Linked DNA regions of Oryzias latipes. The protein of the gene in region 1 purifies or fractionates together with the protein of each later gene. This does not show direct contact. Links are inferred from orthologs where the notes say so. Each region holds a gene or a part of one and is shown on either strand. Other genes may lie near its edges.

Evidence for each region. The genes of interacting proteins can lie anywhere in the genome.
Region 2: the proteins of ube2m (region 1) and cops6 purify together in Homo sapiens (affinity purification with mass spectrometry; 3 studies listed by BioGRID and IntAct, counting the BioPlex papers as one, with this or other methods). This does not show direct contact. The link is inferred for Oryzias latipes from reciprocal best matches to the Homo sapiens genes UBE2M and COPS6.

What each region holds. Positions count from the first base shown.
Region 1 is NC_019866.2:194,340-200,401, forward strand, and holds the start of ube2m (NEDD8-conjugating enzyme Ubc12), read left to right. Parts: upstream 1-2,046; 5' UTR 2,047-2,235; coding exon 2,236-2,350; intron 2,351-3,296; coding exon 3,297-3,391; intron 3,392-4,154; coding exon 4,155-4,193; intron 4,194-4,261; coding exon 4,262-4,365; intron 4,366-4,450; coding exon 4,451-4,514; intron 4,515-5,190; coding exon 5,191-5,331; 3' UTR 5,332-6,062.
Region 2 is NC_019868.2:6,639,053-6,643,352, reverse strand, and holds the end of cops6 (COP9 signalosome complex subunit 6), read left to right. Parts: intron 1-580; coding exon 581-673; intron 674-831; coding exon 832-932; intron 933-2,532; coding exon 2,533-2,673; 3' UTR 2,674-2,984; downstream 2,985-4,300. Other genes in the region: leucine-rich repeat extensin-like protein 3, read right to left, coding at 3,542-4,300. UniProt on the Homo sapiens protein: Component of the COP9 signalosome complex (CSN), a complex involved in various cellular and developmental processes.

The sequences.
Region 1 (6,062 bases):
CTACTCTGATGTTCTCACACGTTCTACTCTGACGTTCTCACACGTTCTCACACGTTCTTCAACATTCTACTCTGACGTTCTCACACATTCTACTCTGACGTTCTCACACGTTCTCACACGTTCTTCAACATTCTACTCTGACGTTCTTCAACATTCTACTCTGACGTTCTTCAACATTCTACTCTGACGTTCTTCAACATTCTACTCTGACGTTCTTCAACGTTCTACTCTGACGTTCTCACTCGTTCCTGACTCACATCCAGTCATCTGGGTTCTTGACTCTGTCTGAATCCTGAAGGGGGACTTCTGGTTCCAGGAAACAAATAGAATTCATCCTCATCATCCTCATCCTCCTCATCTGTAAACGTCTACAGAGTTTAACCTACAGCTGATCTGAAGCCGCTCCTGGAGCTCAGGTGGACCGCTCCGGGGGCTGCAGGTGGACCGTACCACCCAGTCCTCCTGCAGAACCTGAAGAATCAGCAGGTCTGGACCTGAGCTTCTGCCCTGGTCTCAGCTGCAGGCCCAGAAGATTCTGCTGTGGTCTGTGGGTCAGGGACTGCTCACCTGGGGGCGGGGCTTGGTATCATACAGGTGAGCATAAGTGCGCAGATGCAGCGGCTAAAGGCCAACAGTAAGCAGGTCGGTGCGTGAGAGCGCGGACCCCTGCAGCCGTTCTACGCCACTAGTTCTGGTAATCTGCCCATCACGCACCTGTGATGACCCTCCGCCCCCACCCCTCACTTCACCTGATCACGAGGGAAAGGCATGCTAATGCGCTAGCAGGTTAGCAGGCTGTCTGCCCCCCCGCGGCTGCTCCCCCTGGTACCGGGTGCAGAAGCCCCGGAGGGACCGGGACAGATGGACCCCCCCTCCCTCTCCCTCAAACACACACGCACGCACGCACGCACGCGAACGGTCTCTCACCTGTTCGTTGGGGCGCGCATGCTCGTCTGTGGCTCATCAGAATGGACGGTAGCCTCGTTAGCTCCGGTTAGCCCCGTTAGCTCCGCCGCTTCCTTATCACACCCCCCCGCACACCTCTCTGCCGCGGCGGCCCCGGAGCCCTCACGCGCGACCCATCCTCCCCGCCTCAGAGACGCACGCGGGACCCAAACATCGATCTGAAACTGATCGATATCGATCAGGTGATCAGGCCTCGGATGGATGCGCGTGCACTCCGCCTCTCTCTCTGCAGCGTGGATCTATCTCTCTCTACCCGCAGCTTACGCCTTCTTCTCCGCGTGTCCTTCCCCGCAATCACGCAGGCGCCGCTCCTTTCGCTCCCGCACAAACCCCCGCAGCCAGGAGCCGCTGGCGTGAGCGCTGTGCGCGGCTATTGTTCTCGCGCCTAGTGTTGGCGTGAGAAGCGTGATCCGGAGCCCGCGCGCCGCCCTGACACGTTTAACCTCCGCACTGATTACATCACGCAGGTGACCGCACACGCCGCCTCAGAGTGGGAGGGAGACGCAACAGCAAAATAAATAAATAAATGAAGTAAATAAAAATGGGGAGCGACAGCATGTACGCCCCACCTCTGTTGGTGACGTCACAACAGGGAAGTGGGTGGAAAAGGGCATTATGGGAAATATCAATTCACTGTTGCACGAATTTAACAGCAATAAAACTGTCCATTTACTATTTCCGAGCACGCACCCCCTAAACGCACGCGCACAGAGAAATGAGTACTTCAGGATCCCAGAAAAAAGGAAACATACAATTAAAAAAAAGTAATTTTTGAAACAGAAAAATGTTACCCAGAGAATAAAATGACTATTATTAAAGTAATAAACGCAAAATGTCAAAAGTACAATTAATACCAAAGTATGCAAAGTTTTTGTTGTTACTGTTTTTGTTATTTTTATTTATATTTGTAAAAATTCCATCGTTTTAAATTAAAGCTCGATCCAAATCTGAACAGAAACATTTCAATGTTTTTCAACTTTATTACACTTTTCTCTGTTTACATTTTTTCCAGTGAACTTCTTCACAGCAGGGGGGGGGGGGGGGTCCGTATGACACCCACCCCCACCCCACCCCCCACCCCCGCTAACAGGCTAGGCTAGCAGGCTAGCAGCTGCCGCGTTCAGAGACCCGTTCAGACGCGCCGGCTTCGTCCACGTTCCGGTGCTGTTAGGACCGATCCGAACCTCCGAACAGTCCCAGACGACCTGGAGGGACCGCGCAACCCGAAGGCTCGCTAGCTTGCCCCCCCCCCCTGATCAAAAGGTGAAGATGATTAAGCTGTTTTCTCTAAAGCAGCAGAAGAAAGACGAGGAATCTGCTGGAGGAAACAGAGCCGGAGCCGGGGGGAAGAAAGCCAGCGCGGCCCAGCTCCGAATACAGAAAGGTGGGCTCCTCCTCTGCACCGGCCCGGGACCGCCGCCGGTCCTCCGGGAGGGCCTGCTGCTGTCTGCGCGCTTTCAGGCAGCTCCGGTCCCCGGACGGAGGGAAGTCCGGGCCGGCAGCGGCGACAGTTCCGGCTAACGGCTAGCATGCTAACCTAGCTGCTAGCTGTTAGCCACGGCTAACCTCGAAAACAAAGTGATGAGCAGCTGTGGGGGGGTTAACCCTTGTGCTATCTCAGATGACCCCCCCCCCTCCTTCCATTGAGGTGTTCTCCCTACCATGACAAAGGTGGATAAAGGTGGAAAGATTTCATGTAATCCATGGACACCAGTGAAGATCACAAATCATTGAAGAAAAAAGGTTCAGAGCTCTGTCTAGTGGGTCTAGATGACCCACTGTCTAGTGGGTCTAGATGACCCCACTCCCAATGTTAAAGTGCCTAGGATAGCACAAGGGGTACACGCCTTCCACCGGGGACAGGGGGGCAAATCTGGAGTGAAGTTGGCCAGAACCAAACAGGAGGAGTGGGGGGGGGGGGGGGGGGGGGACTCGGGTGATTTAATTGTCCAATCTGAAATGTCTAAGCAGAGCCTAAATGCAAACATAGTATGATGTCCAGAGCTAGAAGCTATTTCAGGTAGGGTGGGGCTGGCTCCAGGTGCGCCCTCCAGGTGCGCAGGTGCATCCTCCAGGTGCGCAGGTGCACCCTCCAGGTGCGCAGGTGCACCCTCCAGGTGCGCAGGTGCACCCTCCAGGTGCGCAGGTGCACCCTCCAGGTGCGCCCTCCAGGTGCACCCTCCAGGTGCGCCCTCCAGGTGCACCCTCCAGGTGCACCCTCCAGGTGCGCCCTCCAGGTGCACCCTCCAGGTGCGCCCTCCAGGTGCACCCTCCAGGTGCTGTCCTGTGATGAAGAGAAGGATCCTGAACGGCAGGTGTTTGTGTTCCAGACATCAACGAGCTGAACCTGCCAAAGACGTGCGAGATCAGCTTCCCCGACGATGACGACCTACTCAACTTCAGGCTCATCATCTCGCCGGATGAGGTGCGTGTTTGATTCCTAGCAGTGCAGACGTTCACGTTTACACTCGGCTGTGTGTGTGTGGGGGGGGGGGGGGGGGGTCATGTGACCACAGATGGACATCATGTAGCCGAGGTTCCTCGTGTTCCTGCTGGATTCTGGAGCATTTCAAAGAGCAGCAGTTAACCTGGATTTTCAGAATAAAAGCCAGGTATCCTGTTGAACTCCCGGAGGGAATTTCAAACCAAGTGGAAGCAAAAAGAAGGAATTCTTCATGATTGTTCATCATCATGTTCCTCATGAATCCACTCCGTGATTCTTCTCCCCTGAGATGATTGGTCAAAGTCCTGCTGCTGCTTGTGTTCACGTCAGGGACCTCATGTAAAACTTTATTTAAACTGCAGACAGATGACAGACAGAGAGCTAAACCCAGAGTGCGGGCTGTCAGGCGGAACACTCATGTGGCACTGCGGTGCTGGTCGGATCCAGTCGCAGGCAAAACCAGTTTTTGGTAGACGGGTCTCCAGGGGGGCTGGGCGTGTCATGGGTTTGAGCCTTGCCTGTCATACCAGAGTACTCTGATTACTCTGGGGGTGGAGGCTCTGAGCCCATACCATTAGTCCTCCGCCACCATGCTTCATAGATTCCATATTTTGTAGTGCTGCCCTGTAAGTGGCTGCTTCAGCTGTGGCCCCCCCACAGCCATGTCACAACATTGGGGTTTTGAGGCAGAGTGGGGGGCATGGAGGGGGCAGCATCCTGCAGCTAACCTGTGTTTCTGTCTCAGGGTTTCTACAAAGGAGGGAAGTTCGTCTTCAGCTTTAAGGTCAGCAAACGCGTCATTTGGCCCCGCCCCTTCTCTGCTCGCAGACATCATAAGAGTTTGTGTTTCAGGTAGGACAGGGTTACCCCCACGACCCCCCCAAAGTGAAGTGTGAGACGATGGTGTACCACCCCAACATTGACCTGGAAGGAAACGTCTGTCTAAACATCCTCAGGTCAGTTCTTCAGAACCGGAGATCCGAACAGCGAGGGGGGGGGGGGGGGGTTCTGGAGGTTCATGTGTGCTCTTCTGCTCCACAGAGAGGACTGGAAGCCGGTTCTGACGATAAACTCCATCATCTACGGTCTGCAGTATCTCTTTCTAGTAAGACACGTCACATGATCTGGGGGAGGGGGGGGGGTCTGCTGGTCAGCCAATCATACTGCAGGAGGGTCACCCACTGGGCCCCTCCCAACTGGGAAACTCCTGTCAGTGGGCGGGGCGTATTTGGATAAGGGGACGCCTTAGCTGCCCCCCCATTCCGTAGCTAAATCTAGGAGCAATCTGGAAGAGCGGTTCTGCTAGGGAACAGTGGACCCAGTGGGATCAGCCCAACGTAGAGAACCTGGAACCGGTGGAGGCGGGTCTTCTGCCTGCTTTGATTCAGACTCCAGCTGGAACTGGACCAGAAGGTTCTCCACCGTAGAACGGTTAAAGAACCTTCAGGTCCAGAAGCTGGAACTGGACCTGAAGGTTCTTTAACCGTTCTACGGTGGAGAACCTTCAGAAGACTCATCCTGATGGAACAAAGCTCAGAACTCTTTGTGACTCCGGATGTTTCTGGTTTCGGAACCATGAGAGAAGAAGGTTCTAGACTGTATTTGGGTTCAGTCTTCGTCTGAAGCGACTCCCTGGGTTCTCTCAGTTGGACTGGACACCAAACGGAACCGTGCAGCGGCGGTTCTTTTGGTGTCTGGGCCCCTGTGAATCCCTGAGGTGGTCCGAACCCGCGGTTCTGCTGGTGTCACTGACACGACTGACGCTCGACTCCACCCCCCAGGAGCCAAACCCGGAGGACCCCCTGAACAAGGAGGCGGCGGAGGTCCTGCAGACGAACCGGCGGCTCTTTGAGCAGAATGTCCATCGCTCCCTGAGGGGGGGCTATGTGGGCGCCACCTACTTTGAGAGATGTCTGAAATAGCTGGGCGTCCCACCATCTCACCCTCCCCCCACCCGTTTGCTCTTCAGCCCTGCTGGGGGGCCGCAGCAGGAAACAGGAAGTCACACGCAGAAGAAAGAAGCTCCGCCCCCTCCTCTCACATTCTTTTATGTCCAGCTGTTTTTATGGAAGGTGGGGGGGTCAGCCCAACGCTGATGAGGATGAAGATTTGCCGGATTTCTTTTTGTTTTTTTAGGCTGACATTCAGACACGCCCCTTCCCGTTCCCACATTTTCTGTGGTCCATAGGCCAGCAGCAAACTCCAGACCCCCCCCCCCCCCATCCCACCTGGACAGGTTGAGGGGAGAAAGACCCGCCTTAACATTAGGTAGTGGGTCGGGGGGGGGGGTTGGACAGGAGGGGGTGGAGCAACCTCAGGAAACATTCAGGATCAGGAGACTCAAAGGAGGAGGGGCTTATAGAGTTGAGGTCTTCATATGGGGAGTGGCTAAGTTTGAATGAACACGCCTTAAAATGCTTCTATGATGACATCAGCGGATCTTGATCTTTGTGGGAGGAGCTTATGATGCGGCATCTGGAGACGGCGAGCAACAACCCAGACCTGTTTGGAGTTTGCTGCTAAAACATGGAGCGCCGATGGGTGGGGCTATTGTTTGGTTCGGAACTTTTGCATTTAAATAGAAGGCGCATTTTATTTTCATTTGGGGGTTTTAAGGGGTGGAGTCAAAAAGGGGAGGAGTTAAACATTAGGA
Region 2 (4,300 bases), on another chromosome or scaffold:
GAAACTCCCCTCCCATCATCTTCTGATCTATTTTCAAAGCTTTCCCTGTGGTCTCTTAATTATGATTGTGGCGTTTTCAACCAAAAACCTCTATCGTTCTCCTGCAGGGCGGCTGCAGTTCATTTGAAATTTGCCTCTGAGTTATGGCACCCGCCCTCACCTCCCATCACTCATCTGTTTACACTCTCTCTCCCACTAGTTTGCAGCCCCTCACACCCCCAACCCAAAGAGCAATATTGGAGCTATCCAACCTGACAGTTTGGAGCCATAGCCTCCTCTTTTTATAATAAGATGCAAAGCAGCATTTCTGTCACTGCTGGGATCCAGGATAGAGGGAAATATTTGATGTGGATCTTTCTTTCTTGTAATGAGGAAAATGATTTATTTTCTTCCAAATAAAATCTATTTTTTTCTTTTTGTATTCTTTTAAATGTCATTTTGTTTAGCTTCTTTTTCTTTTGTGAAATAAATGAATTGGGTGAATGCACATCTGTAGCAAGCTGCTGAAAATGGACCCTGACAGACCTGTGGAAGTGCTTTCAGGTCATTAACACTAACACTTGTCCTTCCTCCTCCTCAGTGGCTGAACACCTCATAGCTCAGCATAGTGCAATCAAGATGCTCCACAGCCGAGTGAAGATCATTCTAGAGTACGTGAAAGCCGTGGAAGCAGGTGAGTCTGCTTTATTTATGAGGCGGGCGCTAAAGGCAAAGAGCGTGAAGAGCAGCAGGTGTTCTTTAGTGAGATGTTCCAACACGCCTGTCTAATAACAAGCCGCCATTTGACGGCAGCATCAGCGGCAGTCACATGACCTCTCCGCTGTGTTACAGGAGAGGTGCCATTTAACCACGAGATCCTTCGAGAAGCAAACGCCCTGTGCCACAGACTGCCGGTCCTCAGCACCATCAAATTTAAAACGGACTTCTATGATGTAAGAACATGTTAAAAAAAAAGGAATTCCACTGAGATTTACCTTAGAAGTTTTGTTTGTTGAGGTTTAAACTGTCTTTGCTAAAAGGTAGAATGCTTTCTTGTTTGTGATGCAATGCTGCTTCTTTATGACCTTTTTAGATACAGGCTTTTATTTTCTTAACCATTCTTTAGAAGGAGATCCACATGCTGGATCTCCTGCACTTTCAGGATCATGAATCCCACAGAAACGTATTTTCTAGTCCATAAGCTCAGATGCTTCCCTTTCACAACCAATCAAGTATTTTATCTCGGTCTCATAAATTATAAATATTAGAGTTGACCTTTTTTCCTTTTAAGAATTAACCCCTTGACACCTGAACCTATTTCCAGCTTTAAAAAAATTACCTTTCTTCGCTTTCAAGTTTATGCTAAATTTTATCAGTGGTTGACAAAGGATTTTCATTTAATGGACTTCCTATTTGTATCACTAAAAAAAAACAAAAAATGTGGTCTAATAAATTTCTCACATATTCAAACATTTTTATTATTATTATTATTAACGTTCCTCTGCCACAAAAAGTGTTTTTGGTGGTATTTCCGTCTTTTAAGCCTCTTGTCATAAAACCGGCAGAAATCTTGACTTTTTTTTTTGGTGATTTTTATTACAAAAACTGTTTAACTGTTTCTATAATCGTTGCCCCCAAAGCATTGAAGCTTCAGTGCTTTAACCTCTTAAGACGTGGCGTTCAAATTTGTAGGCGTCACATTTCGGGTGAAATTACCAGAGTGGTTCTGCTTATCTGGGTTCCTGTGACTTCAGAGGGTTACCTCAACTATTGGCCTGGGTCTTAAGGGGTTACGCTTTTTTGTGTTTAACACTATAAAAGAATTTGCTCATAAAATAAAACACTACTAAGACGAGAGAAAAAAAATCCCCCAAAGTGTCATGATGTTTAATTCAACTATCAAATGTAAACTAAATATATCCTAATAGATTTTAAATAGGATGGAAAGATTCTTAATATTCAGAAGTAATTTGTGTGCAATGATTAAAGTTTAAATTGTACAAAATATGAGTCTAAGATGATCAAACATTGACTTGTTTTTAGAAAATGTACATTTTCAATTGTAATGATAGAAGTTCTACCAACAATATTTGATCTAAAAACAAATCTGTCTTAATACACTCTTACTCGATTGGTTATCACCTCTCATTTTTAATGTTAGATGTTATTAGATTTGGAATGAGTCAAATATAATTGACTTAAATATGCATGATGGAATAGTGGTTACCCCTCTTGCCTCACAGCAAAAAGGTCCTGGTTCAAATCCCAGCTGGGACCTTTCTGTGTGGAGTTTGCATGTTCTCCCCGAGGGTTTTCCCCGGGTACTCCGGCTTCCTGCTTCATGGGGTAATTTGTGATTCTGTGTGGACCTGTGACAGCAGCTGGGTTGGCTCCAACAGCTCTGTGATCCCAAAAGGGATTCAATGGACTGATGGATAAATCAAAAGAGCTTTTAAGATGCACATTCTTTCATAATTTTTTTTCTTCTGCTTCCTGCTGCAGATGACTGTTGAATCTGTGCCTCACTCTCACTCTGCTTCTCCCCCCCTGCAGCAATGCAACGACGTCGGCCTCATGGCCTACTTAGGCACCATCACCAAGACATGCAACAGCATGAACCAGTTCATCAACAAATTCAACGTCCTTTACGACCGACAGGGCATCGGCCGCAGGATGAGAGGACTCTTCTTTTGAGATTCTGGAGATGCAAACGACACGCTGCAGTTTGGGGTTTTTTTTCCCCCTGGTCTCTCCCTACCTTTTAATTTTTTTTTGCGCTTTGTGTGTATTTTGATTGGCTAATAGAAGCTCACAGCCTCAGCGGTTTTTCAGACCCACTTACCATCCTCAGCCACAATCTGAGAGCACTTAAAGACGTCAGTCAGAGATCCACTCTTCTGCACTGCAGTGAACCCTCTGTACACGAATGTTGTCTTTTACCCGGGTTGTTTTCTAGTCTCATGTTTCTGTATGTAATAAAGGATCTGTTGTTTTTTTTCATGGGACTTTTGAGTTTTCTTTTTAAAGGAGCTGCATGAAGCTGGCTCTAAAGGGACGTGTCAGATCTGCACTTTTAAACGAGCTTGTGAAAGTTTGCTGCAGCTCGCTGTCGGCAGGTCGTTTGAAGTCGTCCTCCCGCTGTTTGATGGGCTGATGTGGGCTCAGACAGACGGGAATATTCAGCAGAAAAAAAATGAGGCTGGACACGGCTCCACTGAGTGCAACGTGTAGCAGGAGTCAGCTTTTATTTGGGTGTTAGATGTACAGCGGAAGCAGACCTAATGATCTCCAGTCTGAGTCGGTACACTTTAGTTTAGCTGCCACGTTGCACCGGCGTGGAAACGTGTGTCTATGCAAATGTCAAACCATAAACTGACTTTTATTTTGAAATCTGTTCAAAGAGCAAATGCATGAATGGCCATGTTGAGTAAAAACCGCTTCCCCTCATGCTGAAGGTGATTCTGAATCCAGACGGATCTAATCACAGCTGTATTCTATGCCTGGTGTCAATCAGCCTGCTCCATTTAAAGACAGCTGTTTCACCGCCCCTCCCACCTAATTATCAATGCCCCTCCTCTGCAGGCTCATCAGCTGCAGCATCAGGCTGTGGGTACTGGAAGCGAGCAGGGTCATAAAGGTCATCCCTGGGGTCATACGGGTGGGGGAAGTAGTAGTAAGGGTAAGGGTGTGGGTAGGTTAGTTTCTTTTCTTTGGGAGCGGGGGGTAACGGCTCTTCTACCGGCTCCTCCTCAGGTGGGGGAGTTGGTGGAGGCGCCTCGATCTTTCCCTTGATGGACCTGGGAGGGTGGTCGATCAGGCAGTCGGGGTCCCAGTAGGGGTCGCAGTCATACTCCATGCCCTTGAAGGCACGGACAGGGACCACGGGGGTCTTCTTGACGTAGACTGGAGGTGGAGGTGGAGCAGACTTCTTTGGAGGAGGAGGAGGAGGAAGATGTTTCTGCACTACCACGGGGGCTGGTGGGGCCTTCTGAGGGGTGCAGTGGGGGTGGTAGCGAGGGTCACAGAGTACAGGCACGGCGCCTGAAGGCAGGTAGACGATGTGAGGCTTGCAGAGGGGGTCCTTGCTGTTGCAGAGGAAGAGCACGTCAGCCTGAGACATGGCGGGGGGAGGTGGAGGAATTATCGGGGGTTCTGTGGGCTTTGGGAGCCCTTTCATGGGAGGAGGCGGAGGTGGGAGTTTGCACGATTTGTCAGTAGCTGGGTCGCACTTGATCTTTGGCACGAGTTTGTTCTGGTAGTACGGGGCGTCGGGACCGTACGTCTGCTCCAGATACCTCATCTGCTGGTAGAGCATCCTCAG